Drosophila melanogaster: one gene and its partners. The protein of the gene in region 4 interacts with the protein of the main gene of each other region in a pairwise test. Each region holds a gene or a part of one and is shown on either strand. Other genes may lie near its edges.

The links.
Region 1: the proteins of CG17666 (region 4) and CG14204 interact in a two-hybrid assay, tested with the Drosophila melanogaster proteins (one large-scale study listed by BioGRID).
Region 2: the proteins of CG17666 (region 4) and CG5225 interact in a two-hybrid assay, tested with the Drosophila melanogaster proteins (one large-scale study listed by BioGRID).
Region 3: the proteins of CG17666 (region 4) and CG10035 interact in a two-hybrid assay, tested with the Drosophila melanogaster proteins (one large-scale study listed by BioGRID).

The regions. Positions count from the first base shown.
Region 1 is NC_004354.4:19,581,606-19,587,599, reverse strand, and holds CG14204 (uncharacterized protein), read right to left. Parts: upstream 3,984-5,994; 5' UTR 3,959-3,983; coding exon 3,661-3,958; intron 3,602-3,660; coding exon 3,229-3,601; intron 3,171-3,228; coding exon 3,097-3,170; intron 3,024-3,096; coding exon 2,708-3,023; intron 2,644-2,707; coding exon 2,427-2,643; intron 2,136-2,426; coding exon 1,954-2,135; intron 1,896-1,953; coding exon 1,424-1,895; intron 1,354-1,423; coding exon 1,054-1,353; 3' UTR 543-1,053; downstream 1-542. Other genes in the region: CG14219 (uncharacterized protein), read left to right, coding at 1-218; CG14218 (uncharacterized protein), read left to right, coding at 5,941-5,994.
Region 2 is NT_033777.3:17,026,801-17,031,255, reverse strand, and holds CG5225 (uncharacterized protein), read right to left. Parts: upstream 2,564-4,455; 5' UTR 2,551-2,563; coding exon 2,520-2,550; intron 2,458-2,519; coding exon 1,825-2,457; intron 1,713-1,824; coding exon 592-1,712; 3' UTR 555-591; downstream 1-554. Other genes in the region: Pxd (peroxidase), read right to left, coding at 3,355-3,460, 3,519-3,624, 3,688-4,057, 4,119-4,275, 4,338-4,455.
Region 3 is NT_033777.3:12,380,343-12,384,375, reverse strand, and holds CG10035 (uncharacterized protein), read left to right. Parts: upstream 1-1,684; 5' UTR 1,685-1,715; coding exon 1,716-1,955; intron 1,956-2,024; coding exon 2,025-2,645; 3' UTR 2,646-3,507; downstream 3,508-4,033. Other genes in the region: GstD11 (glutathione S transferase D11), read right to left, coding at 1-29; GstD8 (glutathione S transferase D8), read right to left, coding at 3,702-4,033.
Region 4 is NT_037436.4:12,779,569-12,784,906, reverse strand, and holds CG17666 (uncharacterized protein), read right to left. Parts: upstream 3,583-5,338; 5' UTR 3,446-3,582; coding exon 3,390-3,445; intron 3,333-3,389; coding exon 1,638-3,332; intron 1,604-1,637; exon of another isoform or gene 1,520-1,603; coding exon 1,217-1,519; intron 1,163-1,216; coding exon 598-1,162; 3' UTR 530-597; downstream 1-529. Other genes in the region: CG10969 (uncharacterized protein), read left to right, coding at 3,886-5,338.

The DNA of each region.
Region 1 (5,994 bases), on a different chromosome or scaffold from region 4:
TGCATATCCTAATCGAAGCGCCATTCGCCGGTCTGGAAAGCCTTTTGCTGCCCGCAAAGAGGCCAAATGCCAAGCCGGCCGCGGTGGTGGAGCCCAGGATGTCGGAGGTGAAGGCATCAGTCGAAGAATCTCCAGTAGGTAAGCCTGCGGAAGCGATATCCACGATACCCGACGAAGTTATTCAGGCTGCTCCCGAAAAGAGCAACGTTTTAGTATAATTACATTTAAAATATATGATTTCATGCGTTACGTAAAGTATTAAAACTGTGTTCGAAATTCATTGTACGGTAAGCGATTCCGATATTCTTGATCAGAATCACTGGACGAGTCGATACTTCCATGTCCATCCATATGAACGCAGATACGCCTACTTTTATTATTTGGCTTGCCCATTTCTGTCGATCTGCCCACAACATGTTGGCCCCGCCCACTTTAAGCATCCAAAATACAAGTTTAAAATGTTAATAAATACGTTTCGATTGGTTTGTCAATCGATTGATTTTATCGTTTTATCAGAGCAAATTCTCCAATTTCCTGACTATAAACATAGCATTTCGTCACTACGCAGATGAAAGTCAAGACACATGGTCAGCAAAGTGGGGAAGTCAAGTATACAAATACAAATACGTAATCTATGGAATGTAAATTATCAACAGATTTGGCTCTTATCAAACTGAAAAACTTGTAAACGCTTTGGTGCATACATATCTGATAGTCGAGACACTAGACAAAGTCGTTCCTTCTGTTTTTTTTTTGTGTTTCTTTTCTTTTTTTCTGTAACTGAATGGGGCGTGCATCGCCTCTGTGAGTCAGAATTGAAATCTTTGTGTGCCCATTACAGCAAGCCAAAGTCGGGAATCACCTTCATGACTAATTCGAAACCCACCTGGTCGCAAAAGTCGCAACCAGATAACGACTGATATCGTCTTAAGTGCAAGACTTTTCAACTCAAGGACCATTCATTCCATCGTAACTCTAGACCCGTGGTTAAGTTAATTGTGCCTAGATTACAAGTAGTTCGTTTTAATAAAGGCTAAATAGGAGCTGATAAGTCTAATTTGATAACTCGAGGTCAGTCTCTGTTTTGTTGGCACTCGTTTCCAGGTCAGGCTGGATATCACTGCGCTTCTCGTGCTGCACCACCTGATCCATCCCGTCCATGTGATCCATCTGGTCCATCTGGTCCACGACTTCCGTTCGGGACTCGATATGCAGCTGATCCTTTGCTGCTGGCGGGCTTCTGCGATTGGGAAACATAATTCTTTCCAAGGCCTCCAGAGGCGCCTCAATTAAAACGTAGAGCACGTAGGACATCAGCAGGGTAAAGCCAAAGGTGGACCAAAAGTTGAGCATCTATGGAGTTGGAAATGAAGCGTTCAAGTCCAATAGGAATGTCGAGTGACCCTGCCTGCCACACACTTACCACTTGATAGTTGGAGAAGTACGTATTGGTCTGAACGCTTCTATTGGCGACTTCCACGACAAAGATGTGCCAGATGTAGGCGCCGTAGGAGAGCTTGGACAACGGCTGCCAAAGTGGAGAGGAGAGGAAGCTGTTGGCCAGACTACCATAGCCCTGCATGCACGCAAAGACCACCCAGCAGAGACCGAGGGGCCAGGCGATCCGGACCAGTGTATAGTAGAGGGCTCCCTGCAACACTGAGGGCGATTTGCCCAGCAGCTTGGAGTACGGATACAAGGCGAAGATCGAGGTGAAGAGCGGGGCCAGGCAGAGCAGCCAGCCTGCCCAGGTAGCCAGGAGGCTTAACTTGAATCTTCGGCCGCGCATCAGGTGCAGGAGATAACCGAACATAGTACCGACCAACCAGGGCGCCGCATGGGTATGCGTAGCGGTGTAGATCTTCCTCTGAACCACCTGAGCCTGAATTCCATTCCTGTTAGTAATTGCAATTAGCATTGGGGGACACAAAACGGCGGGCGCGACTGGCTTACTTGAACATCACAGGGAAGTCATTCACCATTATGGTGGCAAACAGGCAGGCGGAGAGCAACAAAGTGACCACCAGGATACCTCCGGCCGCCTTCTTGCCCCACTTGTAGAGGGCGATCAGCAGGATCGGGGACAGGATGTACAGTTGCATGTCCACCGCCAAGTACCAGGTATGCGGCACGCACTAAGGAGCAACCAACAATCAAATAATTAGATAGATAAATATACAGATATAGTCAAGAGCTCCAACTGCAATGGCAATGGTACCACCGAACTTACATAGATGGCGCCAACGATCAATTCTAGTGCTGCAGGCGCCATCTATCGAAGTGATCTCCTATTCGCAGTAAAGCCACTAAACACTTTTAATTATTGTAACTTCTAAGGTATATAAGGTTGATACAGATCCATCCTGATACGGACGGACTAGATGGGCTTGTCCACCTCTCCTGATCAACTTGGACATTCAACTCACCACATCGGATGTTGCGTAGTTCTGCACGTAGAGCAGAGTCCAGTACCAGGTCATCTTGCACCCGGAGTAGTCGAAAAAGCCGATATCATCGTACATTGGGCCGTCTGCGATGAGGGGTATCATCTTGTAGAATGCCAGTATGGCAACGGCTACGATCGGAGTGAGGCGCAGATATCGGTGCAGATACATCAGCGGCACATTTAGCTTTCCCTTGTTTCTGGAGCCATTGAGAATGTTAGCCTGCCTACAGATCGGATTAATCCCTGTACAAGTTGACTCACTTTTCTATGCTTCGCAGGCCAATTGAAACCAGCAGCAAGCCGCTGATGAAGAAGAACGTGTCCACCGACAAGGTACCGTAGAGTATGAAGCTCGAGAAGAGTTGCGTCGCCCATCGCAGGTTGTCCGCTGGATTGATGGCGGGACCCTTCATGTTGATAATGTACTCATGGCTCAAGATTACCCAGATCAGGGACATGCACCGCATGCCATTGAGACAGTGGATTACATTCGGATTCGCCGTGTTCTCCACAATGGTGAACAGCGAACGCGAAGTGGCACGGGCTGAGAAGGCGCCGATGGGACGGGGTAGCTTTTCTGCGGGTAGACATGGATATATGGTACATATACATACATATAGGCTGTTATCCGATTTATGTCAGCTACTTACCCTGCTCCGGACACAAGAAGTAGTCGTAGAGGGTGCACAGGATAACCGTGACACCAAATACGGACAGTAGAACGCTGATGGTAGTCAGTTAGTATGGATAGATCAGCTAGGATGTATCAAGACACTACTCACACTGTGAATATGGTGAGCCCATCCCAGGGTGCTTTCTCCTTGATTCTGCACGACGTCTCGCTGATGGAAAACAAATTGGTCGGATCACTGACGCCAAGCAGCCGCTTGAGCAGTTGCTTGAGGAACAGCTCCATGGTGCCCGCCGAGCAAGAGGAAGGCAGGCACACAGCAGTCCTTATGTTGGTCACCGCCAGCAGCTCAGAAGTGAAACCCAACCACTTGGCAACCGGCAGCTCCATGAAGCAGTACTTTCCCTGGATGTCCTGCGATGAGGTGAGCATTCCGCCCTCGGACAGGCACTCCCTGTAGTTGCCCATGTCGACGCGGTTGCCAATGAGATATCCCGATGGAATGGTGCCCCACGCGTCGAGCACTTCGCATAGAAGGGATAAACTCAAATGGCATCAAAGTTGAAGATGTTGTAATACCCACTTTTTAGGGCCCACGCCTTGGGCGCACTAAGCGCACTCATAAACTGGGCCATATCGGCCAGGCACTGTAGATCTTGTGATCCAATCCGCTCACCCAGAAGATGCACATCCGCCGTTGAAATGTTCCGAAATTCGCGATAGAACTCCATTGCCAGGGAGCGCAGATCCAGGAGCCGTTCGTAATCCGCCATGGAGGACACATCGTGTTGTGTCCATTGATTATTTGATAGTTGGGTCGGCAGCGCTCCTTGGACCATCGCCATTCCCATGGCAAGCAATATAGCCAATAGCTTGATCATCTTTCGCCTGGAGCTCCTAGTTTACGACTGTTTAGCGAATCACCCTTCCCTGGCCCATTTATACACAGGCAAATCCTGCTGTGCATTTCCCATTCGAAATCGAGAATTCATTATCTCATTATCTGCGCCTCCGACAATAGAATAGTTACCAATAATCGGAGGCATAGCTACCCTTGGTAATCAGGGCAGCGAACTCTTAACGTGGCTAATACTATTGCGATTCGGATGAATACCCGGAAAGATAAGCCGCTGGATTTGGCTGTTTCGGTAGCATCTCTACCTTGTCGAATTTCCCGAGAATACTTAACTTAACTTAGCTGCTGATTAAAAGGCGATTTGGCTTTCCATACAACATGACTAATGGTATTCAAACGAAATGTTCAGCAAATTGTTGCTCAGTTGTCTGTCGTTTTTTTTTTTTTTTGTGTCTGCAATTCCGACATTTTTCGGGACAGAGATTTGTCCAGTTTTTGATTTTGACATGCAATACTTATTTCTCGATATCCTGTGTTTTCCAGGTTTTCCCAGCTTTTGCTGGAAAATGGAAATTCGAACGAGTTTTCACTTTCGTCTAGGTTCCCAGCCAAAAGTGGAGGGGTGTGGCACCGACTGGTTTTCGTATGAATTTTGGACCAGATTCGCATTTTTTGGTTATGCAACAGCAATACATCAAGGTTACAGCGAGAAGGAACGCCAAATGCAACCGAACCGACTATCAGATACCCAGCATTGCCAACGCGAAAGTTAGTGTTTTGAATGGTACTTTTATATATGTATATAAGTAACTATGACTTAAATTAGATTATGCATAGTTGCCTATTTGAAAAGACCTGAACAACCGGTACAGCAGTCAAAATCTAATTTACATGCAGAACTCAGGCAGCAAGTGTCAAAACTTTGGTCAAAACTTTCGGAAAATCGAAGGTCTAAACTGGTTTTTCACCCAATTCCGATGCGAATGCGAATTGCAAACGAGAGTTGCTAACCATTGTCCAGTTGCGCCAATGCTTGAAAAACCAAAAGCTGTTAATTACTCTGGAAATGATTAAATATATCTTGAAAATCAAATGCAACAGCCGCAGCCAAACCGAAATTGAAATTCATATTATTATGAGAGCAAATCGTGACAGCCCCTCTTTTTCGGCACAGTGGTACAAACTTGACGAATTAGTCAACGAATTAGTAAGCGCCCACTGTTCGTAAAATCTTTCCCAATCGAATACACCTATAATATTCAGATAATCTTCATTGTTGAACATTTGAACTGTTTTGAGGAATGAGATTTGACACAAGTTCAAGTGAAATTGGTAGTATGTACATACATACGTTTGTATATGGTATATAACCACTTGAGTTTACAATTATAAAACAAGCAATCTATGAATGATTTCCCTATCTTATGGGAAACTTATCTGTGAATTATTGATATTTTGTTAGGGTTTTAAAACATGTAGATTCGTACTCGACACAGAACAATCTAAATAGTATAGATACTTAATGAGCTTGCAGATAGTTAGTTCCCTTGTGTATATCAATCCCTTATGTTGGAGGCAGCTCTACTATATGGTATATGCTATGTGTATGTATGGTATATATATAGGTGGGTATATGGAGTTCTAGTCCCACGGTGCGTGTTGTTTAGCCTCTTAAAATGCACTCGCCGCTAAGCATTATGCATAGTTCGAGCTGCACTTACGATCTATAAACTGGCGCAAAAGTAGTGCAAAAGTAATTGTTGCCACGCACTGAACTCGTTGATAACCGCCGGCAGTCGGCGGGGTCTGCGATTACGAGATCCAGGCGGACGGTCGCAGCTAACCCGTCTAACTAGTTGACTTTGGGGGGGCACTTAATCCGCGACGCCCAGGCCCGCGTGGCACCACTCCGTTGGAGTACAGGCAGGCGACTCCAGCGCTGACCAGCGCCAGTTCTGATTGGAACGGCCTTTCGAGCGGTACACACATACTCTTTGATCCGTCAGGATGAGGATGTTACGTCTGCAGTTGATGGCCCTGCTGTTGGTGGGCCTGCTCCTG
Region 2 (4,455 bases), on a different chromosome or scaffold from region 4:
CATGCTTTAAAAAGTCGTACAAAACTAATTTATGGACAAAGAAATTTATTAATGAATTTAATCAACCTAATACCTGAAAACATTTGAACTTATTAATTTCATATCTGCCAAAAGTTAAATACATATATTACAAACAATTTTACTTGCCTAGCTGATAAGATTCAACAATTTACCATTGTATTTTGATAAATGATTTGAGTTGGCAATTTCATTCGATTGTCATTGAATTAATAGCTTATTTCAATATGATTTCACTTTTTTCATATCTTTGTCCATTGTTATTTTATAGAAAATCTAACAAAGCCGCAGACATTTCCAAGAACAACGGAACTATTTTGACAGCTAACAATAACGCAGTTTATTGTTTATACATTTAAATTTTTTGCTATACGAATTCTGCGAGATGATCTTATTAATACGGAAATCTACAGAGGTTCACTGCTTTTGTTTATTATTAAACATTTAAATTTTATTAACTGTATCAAAATCTCTAAATGAAACCCAAAAAGTAGTATTTTTAAATTGTTAGAAAACCCATAAAAGACTCATATTTTAATGTTATTTTTTTATTTTCTCGTGGTGTTGGCTTATTTATATATTATACTGTTCATAGGCGTAAATGTGAAAGGGATTTCGAGGAGTTCCAATTGACAGGATAATCGGACCTTTGTTGGTTCGCTCCTCAATTGCATCTCCATCCATAGGTGCGTTATCCTCCATCATATTCACTGGGTCCATCTGGTCCTCCATCATATGGTCCTCTTCCATCGCATCATCTCCTTCTGGTACCATATAGCTTGAATCCTCATCATCGATTTCTTCAGCGCCACTCGGAGATTCGGGATTCTCCACTGTGTTATCTGCATATTCAAGGCCGTAGTCCGCATCCTCGGGTTCCGTCTCCAAGTCATTGGGCTCATTGGACATTTCCTCCTCGCCCTCCATGAAATTATTTTCGTTATCATTTTCATCAATTATGTTTTCGACAATCTCCACATTTTCATCTAGCAAGTCCAGATCATCCCGTGGAGTTTGCTCGCCACTACCCTCTGGCTTAGTGGGTTTTGGTTGATGATGATGGGGGTGCTGGTGGTGTGAAGTTTGGCTGTGTCCTCCATTTCCGTGTGTACCAGTGTGGGGGTGTGTATTATGTGGGTCCTGCCCTCCGTGATTGTGTGAGGGATGATGGTGGCCATGTCCTCCGTGATTGTGAGGGGGATGATTATGGTTGTGCTCTCCATTGTGAGGTGGATGATGGTTGTTGTGTCCCCCGTGATTGTGCCCTCCGTGATTGTGGGGTGGATAATGGTGATAACCCTTGTCTCCGCCATCATGTGGATGGTGAGGTGGATATGGTGGCGGATAGGGGCCTGGATAATTGTGGCCTGGATGGTGATGGCCTCCATGGCCACCGTGGGGTGGATACGGATAGTAGCCTCCCTTATCGTGTCCTGGTGGATAATAGTGATGGTGGTGTCCGCCCTTGTCTCCCTTATGACCTCCTTTGTGACCTTTATCCCCCTTATGTCCCTTTGAGGGCCAGGGCACTGGCACTGGCAGAGGAATCCATGGTCCCGGATAAGGACCAGGTGGTGGATACGGGTACGGTGGGTATGGGTACGATGGTGGTGGAGGTGGCGGTGGTGGTGGTGGTGGTGGGGGTTGTGGATACGTAGTGCCTGGAGGTCCTGGAGGACCCGGTGGTCCCGTTCCTGCAAGAGATTAAATACTCAGTAAAATTTTGGAAAATGACTTATAATATATCCTTTCAATATTTTCACTGTTAGAGCGTTGTGATATATATGAGTAACGATTTTCTCTTACCTGGTGGGCCTGGAGGTCCGGGTGGACCTTTGGATCCCTTGTGGTGATGATGGTGACCATGTTCACCTTTCTGCGGTGGCAATGGTATGGGAACTATAATTGGTGGCGTCACGATCGGCGGGTGGGGATGATGTGAATGCGGGTGTGAGTGTGGTGGTGGTGGTGGTGGAGGCGGCGGAGGCGGAGGTGGAGGTGGTGGCGGTGGCGCTGGATGATGATGGTGGTGATCATGATGATCATGGTGACCATGTCCCGACTTGTGACCGGGTGGGCCTGGTAGTCCCGGTGGACCAATAGGTCCCGGTTCACCTGGTTGGCCTGGTAGTCCGTAGTGACCGCGTTCTCCCTTCTCTCCTCGCTCGCCCTTGGACCCAGTGTGTCCCTTGGGACCTTGCGGACCAGGCGTTCCTGGTAAGCCCGGCGGTCCAGGAGGCCCCGGTGGACCTGGCGGGCAATTGCAGTGCTGTGGCGGAGGCGGAGGCGGCGGCGGTGGTGGCGGATAGTAGTGCTGTGGTGGCAGCTTGTAGATCACACTTTGTGCTGGCGCCGGAGCCGGAGCAGCTTGTAGAGATGCTATCAGTCTGCCCGTCTCGGCACTCGGGTTCTTGGAATTCGCTAGGCCAAAGGCCCAGCCTGGAAAGGAAATGAATCCCAATTAGAAATCAGATCCATCCTATTTGAATCATATTCCTTACCTATCCAAAAAATCACTGCGAACAGCCTCATGGCGAAATGGTATCTGCTGCCTTTCTCCGGCGGACGGATCACTTTTATACCGCATTATGAACTCTTAATCTTGTATGCACACTTTGTTTAAATCACTTTCATTAATCTAGATTCACTAGAACCGTTATATCATGTCCATTCAGAAATCTGCTTGCCAAATCTCTCGGAAAATATGCAAACCTGTTCGCGATGATGCTATCATCCTGGGTTCTCTCTAAACTTATATATGTAAATTTATGTCCAATCCAAAAGTGAACCGCCTCTGAAGTATTAATATGTTAACTTCCATTTGAAAACAGAAGACATATGCAAAAAAGAACACATTCTCTGTTGCCGATTGTTTCGCTTTACGATTCGAATGAACCATGACTTAAAAATGGCAGAAAAAAGAGTTTTGTCTCTTAATTGGCCGTTTCTATCAACTTGTTCACACCTCGGTCGCGCGTCTCCATATGATTAACCCCGATGAATCGGAGCTATCCCAAAGTCAACGAAAGTGTAAAGGTTTTCGGACCCGGCATTTCTTTATCCGGGCCTATTGCATAAGAAGGGGTCGGGTCTGGATGGCATTGGGATTTGCCCTTGACTTCTTTTCATTTCCGTGAAATCTTACAAACATTATCAGGTCACTGAAAGTAAAGCTGATTGTTTAAATGGTAAGGGCTTTATTTCTGTACATCAGTTTGGGACATTATCATACAAGGGGGGGGGGGGGGGGAGGGGCTTTGCATTTACGTTTATGTTATTGATTAAGCTAAATGTATTTGTATTCAACTAGTTAAGCATAGATCCCACAGCAGCGGATTACTTCTTTCCGTAGTGAGACGGATCTACAGTGGCATATAGCTTTTGATCAATCCATTTGGTGAGGTCGACTTGTGGAATATTTGAGCACGGTATAATCGGATTCCTGTAATTTCAGAGCTCAGTTACTTTCCAAATAACCAATTTAATCAATTTAAACTTACGAATGGGAAACAGTCCGGAAAGCTTCGGGCTGCATGGATGAAATGTGGTTGCCATTGTCGCACAGCAAACGAGCCATACTGGCCTTCCTCAGCTCCTCCAGTTGATCTACGAAATTAGACATAAATAAATTAATATTTAAAATAGTCAGAGGAGAAATGTTCTTTTTACCAGGAGTAAATCCAGTGAGCTTGTCTCCGTTTTCGAAGAAGAAGCGATCGCCCACTCTGGTTCTGTAGAATTGTTCCGTGAGGATACACAGGAAGGTGGGTCCAGCCAAAGCTCCGGCCACATGCGCCTCCAAGGAGGCGCCCACAGTCAGATCCACGTCTTCGTGGCTCGGGTATAGCGACTTAAGTTTTTCCAGAATTGGTGGACTTATTAGATCACCGTATCCCTCCCACGAGTGGGCACGTCTCAGTCCGCAGAATTCCCGCATGTCATTGTAGGAAGCCAGACCGTGATCGCGATTACGCTGAATGTCCAGGGAACGCAGATCGGAACCGAAGGGCATGTTTCTTCTGAACAGGAAGTGCTTGATCTAAGCCAGGAAAGGTTGAGAGGTTAGAAAGGTGGTCTCATTTTGTTATTTGTGTACCCACCTGTCGGTCAAAATTGATATCAGTTAGCTCTTCGGGCTGCGTGGCGTGTCCTCTGGTCAGGGAATCAAAGTTATCTCCAACCTCAATAATACCGGGACGATTGAACCAGTCGCTGAGGGTCAGAGAGCCGAGAACTTGACGCAGCTCGGACAGTAGACTGCACAAAAATTTTAAAATTAATAAAATGTTCTTAACTCATAATAGTAAATAGGCACTTACTCCAAACGACCTTCAATCTGGGAATGGAAGTATCTGAAAGCGGCCGTCGCGTGCTCATTCAGCACCGATGGATCAATGTTGGGATCGAAATCGTTGATATAGCTTCCGGATGGAGCCT
Region 3 (4,033 bases), on a different chromosome or scaffold from region 4:
TCAGTTACAATACGCTTCGTGTCGGACATTGGCCGGAACTGGAATGCCAGGTTACCGGCCACACGCAGGCCCAAAAAAGTTGCCTCTTGGCGGTCAGCGGCAAATAATCAATGCATCGATTTTATTCGACTATATATTTATAGTTAATTAATGCCAATTGTTCTTGGCGTGGTCTTTTGAGAACTTGCAAAAAGTTGGCAGCAAGGCTATTAAGTACTGTAGTTTTATTATTAAGTAAATTTAAAGGTAAACCGAATAAAATGATAGCATGGTAGTACAATTGGAAAATGTGTTCTTAATGGAATTAAAAAGATTACAACAGTCTTCAAATAATAAATATTTAAATATCGCTGTTGAAGGTTGTGTCACTAAACGATCAGCCTAAATGTATGCAACGATTTTGTTAACAAATGTAAAATGCTTAGGTAAGTGTAAAATTCATCGCTTCTAAATAAATAAATATATAAAAAGGTAAGTGTAAAATGTAAAATGTAAGCTTGTGCTGATAAATATATGTATATAATGCTCCCTAATATTTTTGTAACAAAACAGCGGAGATAATTTTAATAAATTATGATTAATTCATACAGGGAATTCCCGATTCGAGACCCGTTCCCTGAGGCACCCTCCTATCTGGAAATGGTAATCGCTGTGCTGTGGCCAACACTTAATTGCACTCACTTATTTATTCATTATGGAATATGCACAGAAGGCGTTGGACCAGCCGAACCGACCCATTGGACACTCCTACTACTCACACAATTCGGTGCACCAGCTTGTGCTGCACCACGGCCACCGAGTCGATGTCGATGCAGTTACCCAGTATGCCGTCGAGTGTTGCCGCGTCCACGTATGCCGGAGCTCGCCAAAGGACTATGACTGACACTGATGCTGCTACTGCTACTGCTGCTCCGGTGGCTGGTGCGTGGGCCACTCTATGCGGTGATGGAATCTGTCTCAGCTGTCCCAACTTGCCGACGACTCTGTTCACCGATGTATCCGCTATCTGACTTTTCCAATTTCCAGAGCATGTTGTCTCGCCAGCGTTGTCGTCGCTGTCTTTGGGCGCATTTGTTTTCGTTTAGTTTTCATAACGAACGTTGCCATGGACGACAGTCCGCCTCAGTGTTCACCTGGTCGAAAAGGACTGGTGGCTGATGTGGGTTGGGTGGTGGGGGGAGGTGCTCGTTGGCGGTCCCGAAAACTCAGCCAAAATGCTCACATTCGTGTCTAAAATTATATGTCTACATTATGTGCCAAGCTATGCTTTTCCTTTTATTGATTGCCAACAGATTTTCCAATTCAGAGCACCTGATTAAGTTGACTGAGTGGTGGGGGGTGTTTTGATTGGCATCACTTGAAACTCAACGTGTTTGCATCAAACATTTTTCGACAGTCACGACTTCATCGCGTGCTTGACATTTCTTAGGGCCACTCAAGGACACGGCCGGCACAGTGGTAATTAGCCAGGACATAAATGTTTCACGTGACGGTGTCCCACGGCCAAGGCATCTTCTACCTGAACCCTTACAAGCAGGTAAGGTATGGAAAATTGCTTTGTGTTAGGGATTAGAAAAGAAGTGGGATCTTTAGGATTCCCAGAATTTGTGACATTAATTGCAAAACAAGGACTAAAATGGCCGAACTAGACGAGGCTTTAAAAGAATCGATCGTGTCTGGGCCAGGATCAGTTGTTTTTCCACACCCAAGCGAAGATGAAGTACCTCAAAGACTGCAGTTTCCATGTCCTGTTGGTTCTGCTGCTAATGATCCGTGGATCGCTTTGTGTGCCAGCTTTGGACGCAGCTCCTCCGGCTGCCACACCCAACACCGTGGAAGAGTCGGAAAATCTGGTCGAGGGCAGTGGCGAACCAGTTGTCGCACCCACAGACGTGGTACCTGCAGCCAGCAATGGTACCACTCCTCCGGCTGAAGGAAACTCGGAAGCAGCGGTGGTAAGTTTTATATACAATTTTACTGTGTTATATTTATAATAATCTAATAATTCCATCCTGATATAATAGCCAGACAACGTGGCCAGTGGTAGCAGCATTGATCCCACCACCATTTACGCTGGAGGCCTACTCACTCCCGAGGCCTTTCAGCAGTACCTGAGTCAGTATGGAGCGTATGCTCCTTACTCCTATCCTGCTCCTGTTGCGGGAACAGCAGCTGGCATTTACCCGTACCCTGGACCCATTGTGGTGCAGACGGGCTACGAGGGATTCCTGGTGCCCACTAATACCGCAGGACAATCGGACAGCACCACTGTCCTGGCTCCCACTGCCCAGCCCAACTCCTCGAATCCACTGATGACATTTGTCTCCAATCTTCTGCCCACGATCCTGATGTCCACGCTCTTTCGCATCGCTGCCGTTGTGGTTTCCGCCGTGGGCATCATCCTCTTTGGCGGTGCCATCACCAGTGCCCTGTGCAGGATCACTCCAATCTGTGAAATACCCGCCCGTGCTGTGAATATCCTGCGGACGGGTGGTGCCCAGGATGTGGGTCGCATGCTGGCCGAGGAGATGACTCCGGAACGAGTGCGTCGGGCAACGGAATTCGTGCGCAACGCCATCCGGAAGTACAAGCAACTGCAGAAGCTGGTGGAGGCATCGGAGGCGGTGACCGAGTTGACCAACTAGGGATGGCGCAATGGGTGTAGGTTTAGTGCTGGCTCGTAAATTAGGTGGAATGCAAAATATACTTTTAATGATGCTATAAAACATGATTTCACTTTTTTCTGTCGCAAGGGGTTCTTAAAAGGTGTTGAGATTTTGTGTTGCAAATTTGTTAGTGAAATATATAAACACGATTCAAAAAATGGTTCGCAAAAAGTGTTTACATACACGACTTATGATATAATCGTTTGATTTGTCTATTGATTATTAGCTTTAAATTGTTTTGGAACTTCTGTGGCAACCCTCTGGTGGATTTGTTGGCGCACAATGACCAATGAGAAGTATGTGTGCACTTGCATATGTAGTTTGTAACCGCTCAATGCCACAAGCAGCACGTTTGTTAGCTAACTGAACTCGCGATTGTTCTAATAGTTGGTCGGTCAATGGCCCAAGTGGCTTGTGGATCCCTCGAGGGGCGAAAAGGGGTCCAAGTGGATTTATATGTACCCCAGTGAAATCATCGCGTGCATTCAACTGCGGTGTTGAAATCGCAATTGGCAATTGTCGTGTGGCACTCGCGGAATTTACAGAGCTACAGAAACACAATCTCACTTTTATGAACCATGACAGAGATTGGAATTTTAAATATAAGTGGAGGCTGATTAGTGTGATCAGGACAAAACTACTGTTGCATAATCGCTTTTATCATTTATATAAATTTTTATCATTTTAGTGGGACGAACTACTTAAATATTTAAAATACGATTAAAAAATAATAATAAAAATAATAAGGGTACCGCCTATCAACATTTCAAGCCGAAAAGCAAAAGTAATTAATATTTGCTGATAAGAGAGTGAACAAATAAATGCCTTTCGTTTGTTTTATAAGAAACCCCCATATATGGAGCAGCTTTTCAACAAGAAATGAAAGCTTTGTTTGTTTGAGATAATAATTTATTATCACGGTGCTCATAACAATGCGATTTATTTGTTTAACTACAATACAATATAACCATGTTTGGCAATAATTTGCCGAGGTATGTGGTATGTTGGGCATTTACTGCAGACATTCTCATCAAATCATTCATTCCTCTCCTGGACAAGTTTCTTGATTAGCTGTACACCGTCCCAGTTCTCTTCCCAACCGGGAGTCACTTCCTTGGCATTCTCGTACCACCTGGCCACATTTGGATACTGGGCTATATCGAAGTCCACCACCTCAAAGGTGGAAACGGAGGCCAACAGGGCAATGTCGGCAATGGTGAGGCAGTCGCCAGCCACATACTCCTGGTCCTCCAGGAAGGTGTCCAGGTGGCCAAAGGCGCTGTCCACTTTCTGCATGGCCTCTGGATCGGCGGGATGATTATTCCTTATCTGTGGATAGATGGCCTCGACGAAACTCTGAAACAGGG
Region 4 (5,338 bases):
CCAAGCAAACCACATTACATAACGTAAAGGGCAATATGCAAGCCAAACTCAGTTTAAATCTATGTTTAAAGGAGGAAGCGGGAGAACCCAGATCCATATATCATGTGCTAGAATTTCTCCGTAGTTTTAATGCCTATTTTCTTATTTAACAATCTAATATTCCCCTATTATTATATTATAAACATACCATACAATATTGATGGCTGCACTACACAAACATGTTTACAATGTGCTATGTTCATAGTTTTTAGTTAGGTCTTTTCTAAAACAACTTTAAAGATGTATTTAATTTTATGACAAGAAATTTATATTTTAAAGAAACTTTTTAAGTTTTTCTACAAGCAAAGCCCACAAAACTTTCGAAAAAATCTATATATGTATATGGTATACAAAAGAGAGAAACACATAAAAGAGTGTATAAAATGAAAAAGAAACAAAATACCGATTTGAACTAATAAAAAGTACTAAGGAAAATCGTAGAAATATGCCTGTTTTTAAATTATAAACAATTAAAAAGGAAGAGAAAAGTGCATTCCAAAATGTTCTTTATTTTGAGATAGGCTTGTGTGAAAATGTAAAAAATATTCAACGTTTAATTTAGACATGGTGCACGCGGCCGATGTTGAAAGGAGGACCTTGGTTATTCCGTTGATAGTTCCGATGACTATCCACACAGCCAGCCTTCCACCGCCCACTGTATGGAGAGCTGAAGTGTGGCGAGGCAGTCGGAGAATAGCCCGGCATGGTTGAAACCTCTTGCCTTGGGCATTTCCAGGGTGCAAACGTAGAAGGCGGAGCACAGCTTCCCAAACTCACAGCCGTGCCGCCGGAATTTCGCGTGCTATTGGACGATCTGTCTTGCCTTTCCTTTTGCTTCGGCTTCGGAGGAATCTTCTCCAGCTGAGCAGCAGGGGAGTTGCTGCAACAGCAACCGCACGGACTGCAGCAGTAATTGCAGCAATTACGACAGCCATTGCAGCAATTCGCGCAGTAGTAGTAACAGCCGGTGCAGGGATTATAGTACCAGGACCAAGGACATTGGTTCGAGCAGGGCATGCAGCAGGTATTTACTGGAGCTGGAGCATGATTGCAGGGTACTGGTGGAGGATTCGAGGGTGCTGGTGGAGGATTCGAGGGTGCTGGTGGAGGATCTTCGTTTTCCCTGCGAAACGCATTAATTACTCCTTGATGGAAGTGGACAGAAGTGGGTACTCACTCAGGCAAATTGGCAGAGCAGCCGCAGGTGCGCATTTCTTTTGTCGGAGGCGTTGGACATGGTTTCTTGCAGTTACACGGGCAGTGGGCATCCTCGTCTTCTGGTGTTTCCTGTGGTGATGCTACGGTACCTTCTATTTCGTTGCTGCTGTGCTCGCTCATCTTGTTCTTGACTTTTGAGCCATTCGATTTCTTATTCTTCTTGGCAGACGGTTTCGCTTGCTTTTTGCTCTTGTCCTTGTCCTTCGGCATCAGGAGGTGACACCACTTCTGCAGGTCACACGGAGGACAGGACTCGGTGAGGCTGCAATGGATACGGAAGACATTACTTCGTGTTCGATTAAAGATGTGTGCCGAATGGTGGATTGAGTAAGCCTAATTCGAGAGCTGTAATAGCTCACGAACTCTGACATTAAACTCACCGGCTGAGAAGCTCAAGGCAATTCTTTTCCTGCGTCTTCTTTTTTCCAGAGTTCACATTTTCTTCCGGTGGACAATCAGATTCTTCGGAAACGTAATGAGGATAGTATTGATTGTTGGGATCGAACCGAGTGCAGCAGCATTTAGTGGATTTCTCCTTCGATGGTTTAAAGCTTGATGGAACTTTATTCGAATTTTTATCCTTTTTGGGTCCTGCCTTCGATAAGTTTGGTGCACTTGCTGCTTGCGTTCTATTCACGTCATGTCCTGGCTGAGCATAAAAAGGATTATGGTCTTGGACAAATGTGGCATTAAGTGGAGCGCATTCATTGTACGGATAATACTGATTGGATGGATCAATGCCCATGCCCACCCTCTGCTGGTCATAAAGTACGGGTTGTCGATTGGTAGGTGCTCCTACAGATTTATTACGATTTCTTGAATCGTACGATCTGTTGTTATCACGAGAACGCACTTCACCAGCGGATGCCATTGACTTGGGCGCGGACCTATGATCTACATTTCTATCTCCACCACTATTAGAATGATAATTGGTTGTGGCTCTACTGGCTTGTGGTTTTCCGGAACGACCTTCCCTCGACTCATTTCGGTGACTGAGCGACTTGGACCTCTGAGCACCTGGACTAGCATGAACATTTTCAGGAAAATTATTATTGGCATAAGCTCTGCCTGATCGATCTCCCCTAGATGGGCTTCGTTGATTTGGAGATTTAGATCTGTTGTTACCATGAGGCAGTTGCCCCTTTGATGACTCCAATTGGGGAACTGGCCTTGAATGTGTGGCTTGACTCTGCTGGTTATAGACTTCAGATCTGTTAGCACCAACATGAACTTGATTCGTTGATTGGGGAACAGTATAGCTATAATTCTGATTGTTGGGCTCACAGTTCATTGGTTGATTATTTCGGCCATAAGCTGGTGCACTTCCTCCTGAGGTAGGAGTGACTGGCATTTGATTTATTGGACGTTGTTGGAATGTTGCATCGAATGGAATATACTGACTATTGGGGGCACAGCTCATGCCTAAACCCTGTATAAATTGATTATAGGAAGGTACTTGCGCCGTTCCTTGTGGCCTTCCAGGTGGCATTTGGCGATCTCCGCATTGGTAGACTTCTCCGGTACAGGGATTAAACTTATTTGTGTACTGTGTGGGTAGACCTGCCGCTGGAATAGATCTTGGATCACCCTGACCTACCGAGGATGGTGGAGCCACTGGTAGAACTATGGGACCAGGTACACCAAAGCCTCCATATTGAGTCGGTGGCGGGATACCAAAAATCATTGGATTTCCTGTCGGTCCGTAAGTTCCATAACACGGAATAATAGTCGGTTGTCCCGGTTGGAAGCCAAAGCCTGTTCCGTAGGCTCCAGTTCTAGCTAGATCGTCTTGCGCGCAATCTTCAGGATTCTTGCATCCATTCTTACCATCTTGACATGGATTCTCACAACTCTCCGCACATGCATCCATGTTTAAACACGGATCCTTACAATTGTCCCCACAGGCTGAGCAACTTTTCGATCGTTTCCTTTTCTTTGGGCGCTCTGGCGTCTTTAGAAGAAAACTGGGCGGCACCATGTCCGAAAACTTTTGGAACTCCCCAGAAAACACGACGCGACAATTCCTCATATTAGAGGAACAAGATCGCTCACAGCAACTTGGTCGAGGACAGCACCTGCGGATGAGTATAAATGCAATTGGGTTGAGACACTAACTATATTCTTATACTTACCAGCCATTGCCATGGCAGCTTATGCACCTCCTTAAATATCGACATGGATCGCACATTTTCAACTCCTGGTTCTGTTTAAAAGTCCACCTTCACTCATGGTCAATTACGAAGAGTACACAAACATAACATCGGTAGTCAAAATCATAAAAAAGTAGAAGTAAATGGTACAATTTATATTTTTGATGTCCTAAACTAAGACTATATTGTTAAAATCATTGCATGATCAGTTGTGATAAAACAACGTTTTGAAAGTGGTGCTACCATCTTCATATATGTGTTCTTTACAGATTATAATATGATATGAATATAAGAGAAACCTTGTAAACAAAAAGACTTCCTTGGTTTATTTAACTTACTATTTATGTCGACCAAAACTCTCTTTTTAGTTTTGGTCAAAAAAATGACATTACAAAATTCTTTGTCACGCCAAAAAACAAATTTAAACGGAAGCATTGTATAACTGAGACAAAAAATTGTATTTGGGAAAAAAGAAGAAATGCCCAATGACGGAGTCAAGTCAACCAGGCCCAGTCCCTATTGGCGTCATGCGAGTCCTCCTCCGAGGAGGAACATAGCATCGGAGCAATACAGCAATCGAGTCGGACAGCAGCTGGTGCGAGCCCTGGCTCAGAGCTTACCGTCTGGACAGGAAGCCGTGCGTTCCCGATCATCCTGCCCACCAACACCTCGTCGTCGCCGGCAGGCAAGTGTCTGCAGATCGATGGGAAGTCCAGAGTTTGTGCCATTGATGTCGCACAGTAAGCCCAAGGCATCGGTTCGATTGAAGGCGGGTATGCCGGTGAAACCAGTGTTGGGAGGAGATCCACCCAATTCAAAGACTCCTGGTCAGTCTATGATGGCCTCAGCCAAACGTCGCAATGAATCCCCCACAGTGAAGGCAAAAAGCAGGGAAGAAGAGTTCAATAAGATACCAGAGCTGGTTAGTGAGGCATCCGTCGCCAAGGCCAGAGAAAAAGAGTTCGAAAAGATACCTTCCGGAGTTCCGAGTTTGACCGAAGAAAACAAGCAAACAGAAGTGAAAGACACAAATAATTCAATCCCGGAAACGCATGAGAACTTGAAACCGGAAACGAAAACCAATTTTATAATAGAGGAAGAAAAGCCCACAGAATGTATACCAGAAACGGAACCGAAGCCATCGAACTCGAAGATAATTCCCTGCTTTCGAGGAGAGTATCCCACACGACATCGTCCTGGTACTTGCCAATGGTTTCAATCCGACGTCCCCAATTGCGGAAATATCGTGACCATATGCGATGAGGAACACCAAATTATGGGTGAAGCGGAAATAGTCACCGCTTGCCAGGTTACCGAAGCACATTTCCTCAGCCTCGATTGTGAAAATGATAACATGAACAACGAACCGCCATCGATTTCGAGGTGCAATAAGTGCACGGGTTGTCCGCAGCAACAGAATGGTAATTGGTTTGGACAGCAACGATCTTGTCCTCAGCAGCAACAACCTTGCTTTCAACAGCAACAACCGTGCTTTCAACAGAAACCATCTTGCTTGCAGCAGAAACCATCTTGCTTGCAGCAGAAACCATCTTGCTTGCAGCAGCAACCATCTTGCTTCCAGCAACAGCAACGAAATTGTGGACGAAATCCACCCTGTCCCAATGTGAAACCAAAAGGATGTCTCAAGTGTCAGGAGCAGCAGCAGTCTGGCAAAGCATTTGCATACAATTTGCAGCAGTCGATGCAGCAGCAAGTTCTGCCGCAGATGCAGAATGTGTATCCTTGTCAGCAGCTTCAGCAAGTGAATACCTGTGATCAAATGGAACAACAAATGCAACAGCAAGGCATTGAGGAGAACAACTATGGCCTGACCGAAATGCTGGCCGAGGAGCTAAGAAAGCAAATGCTCGAGGCTCAGGCGCAGATTGCACAAGTGCAACTGCAGTTGAATAGCGCGTGTGGAGCCACAA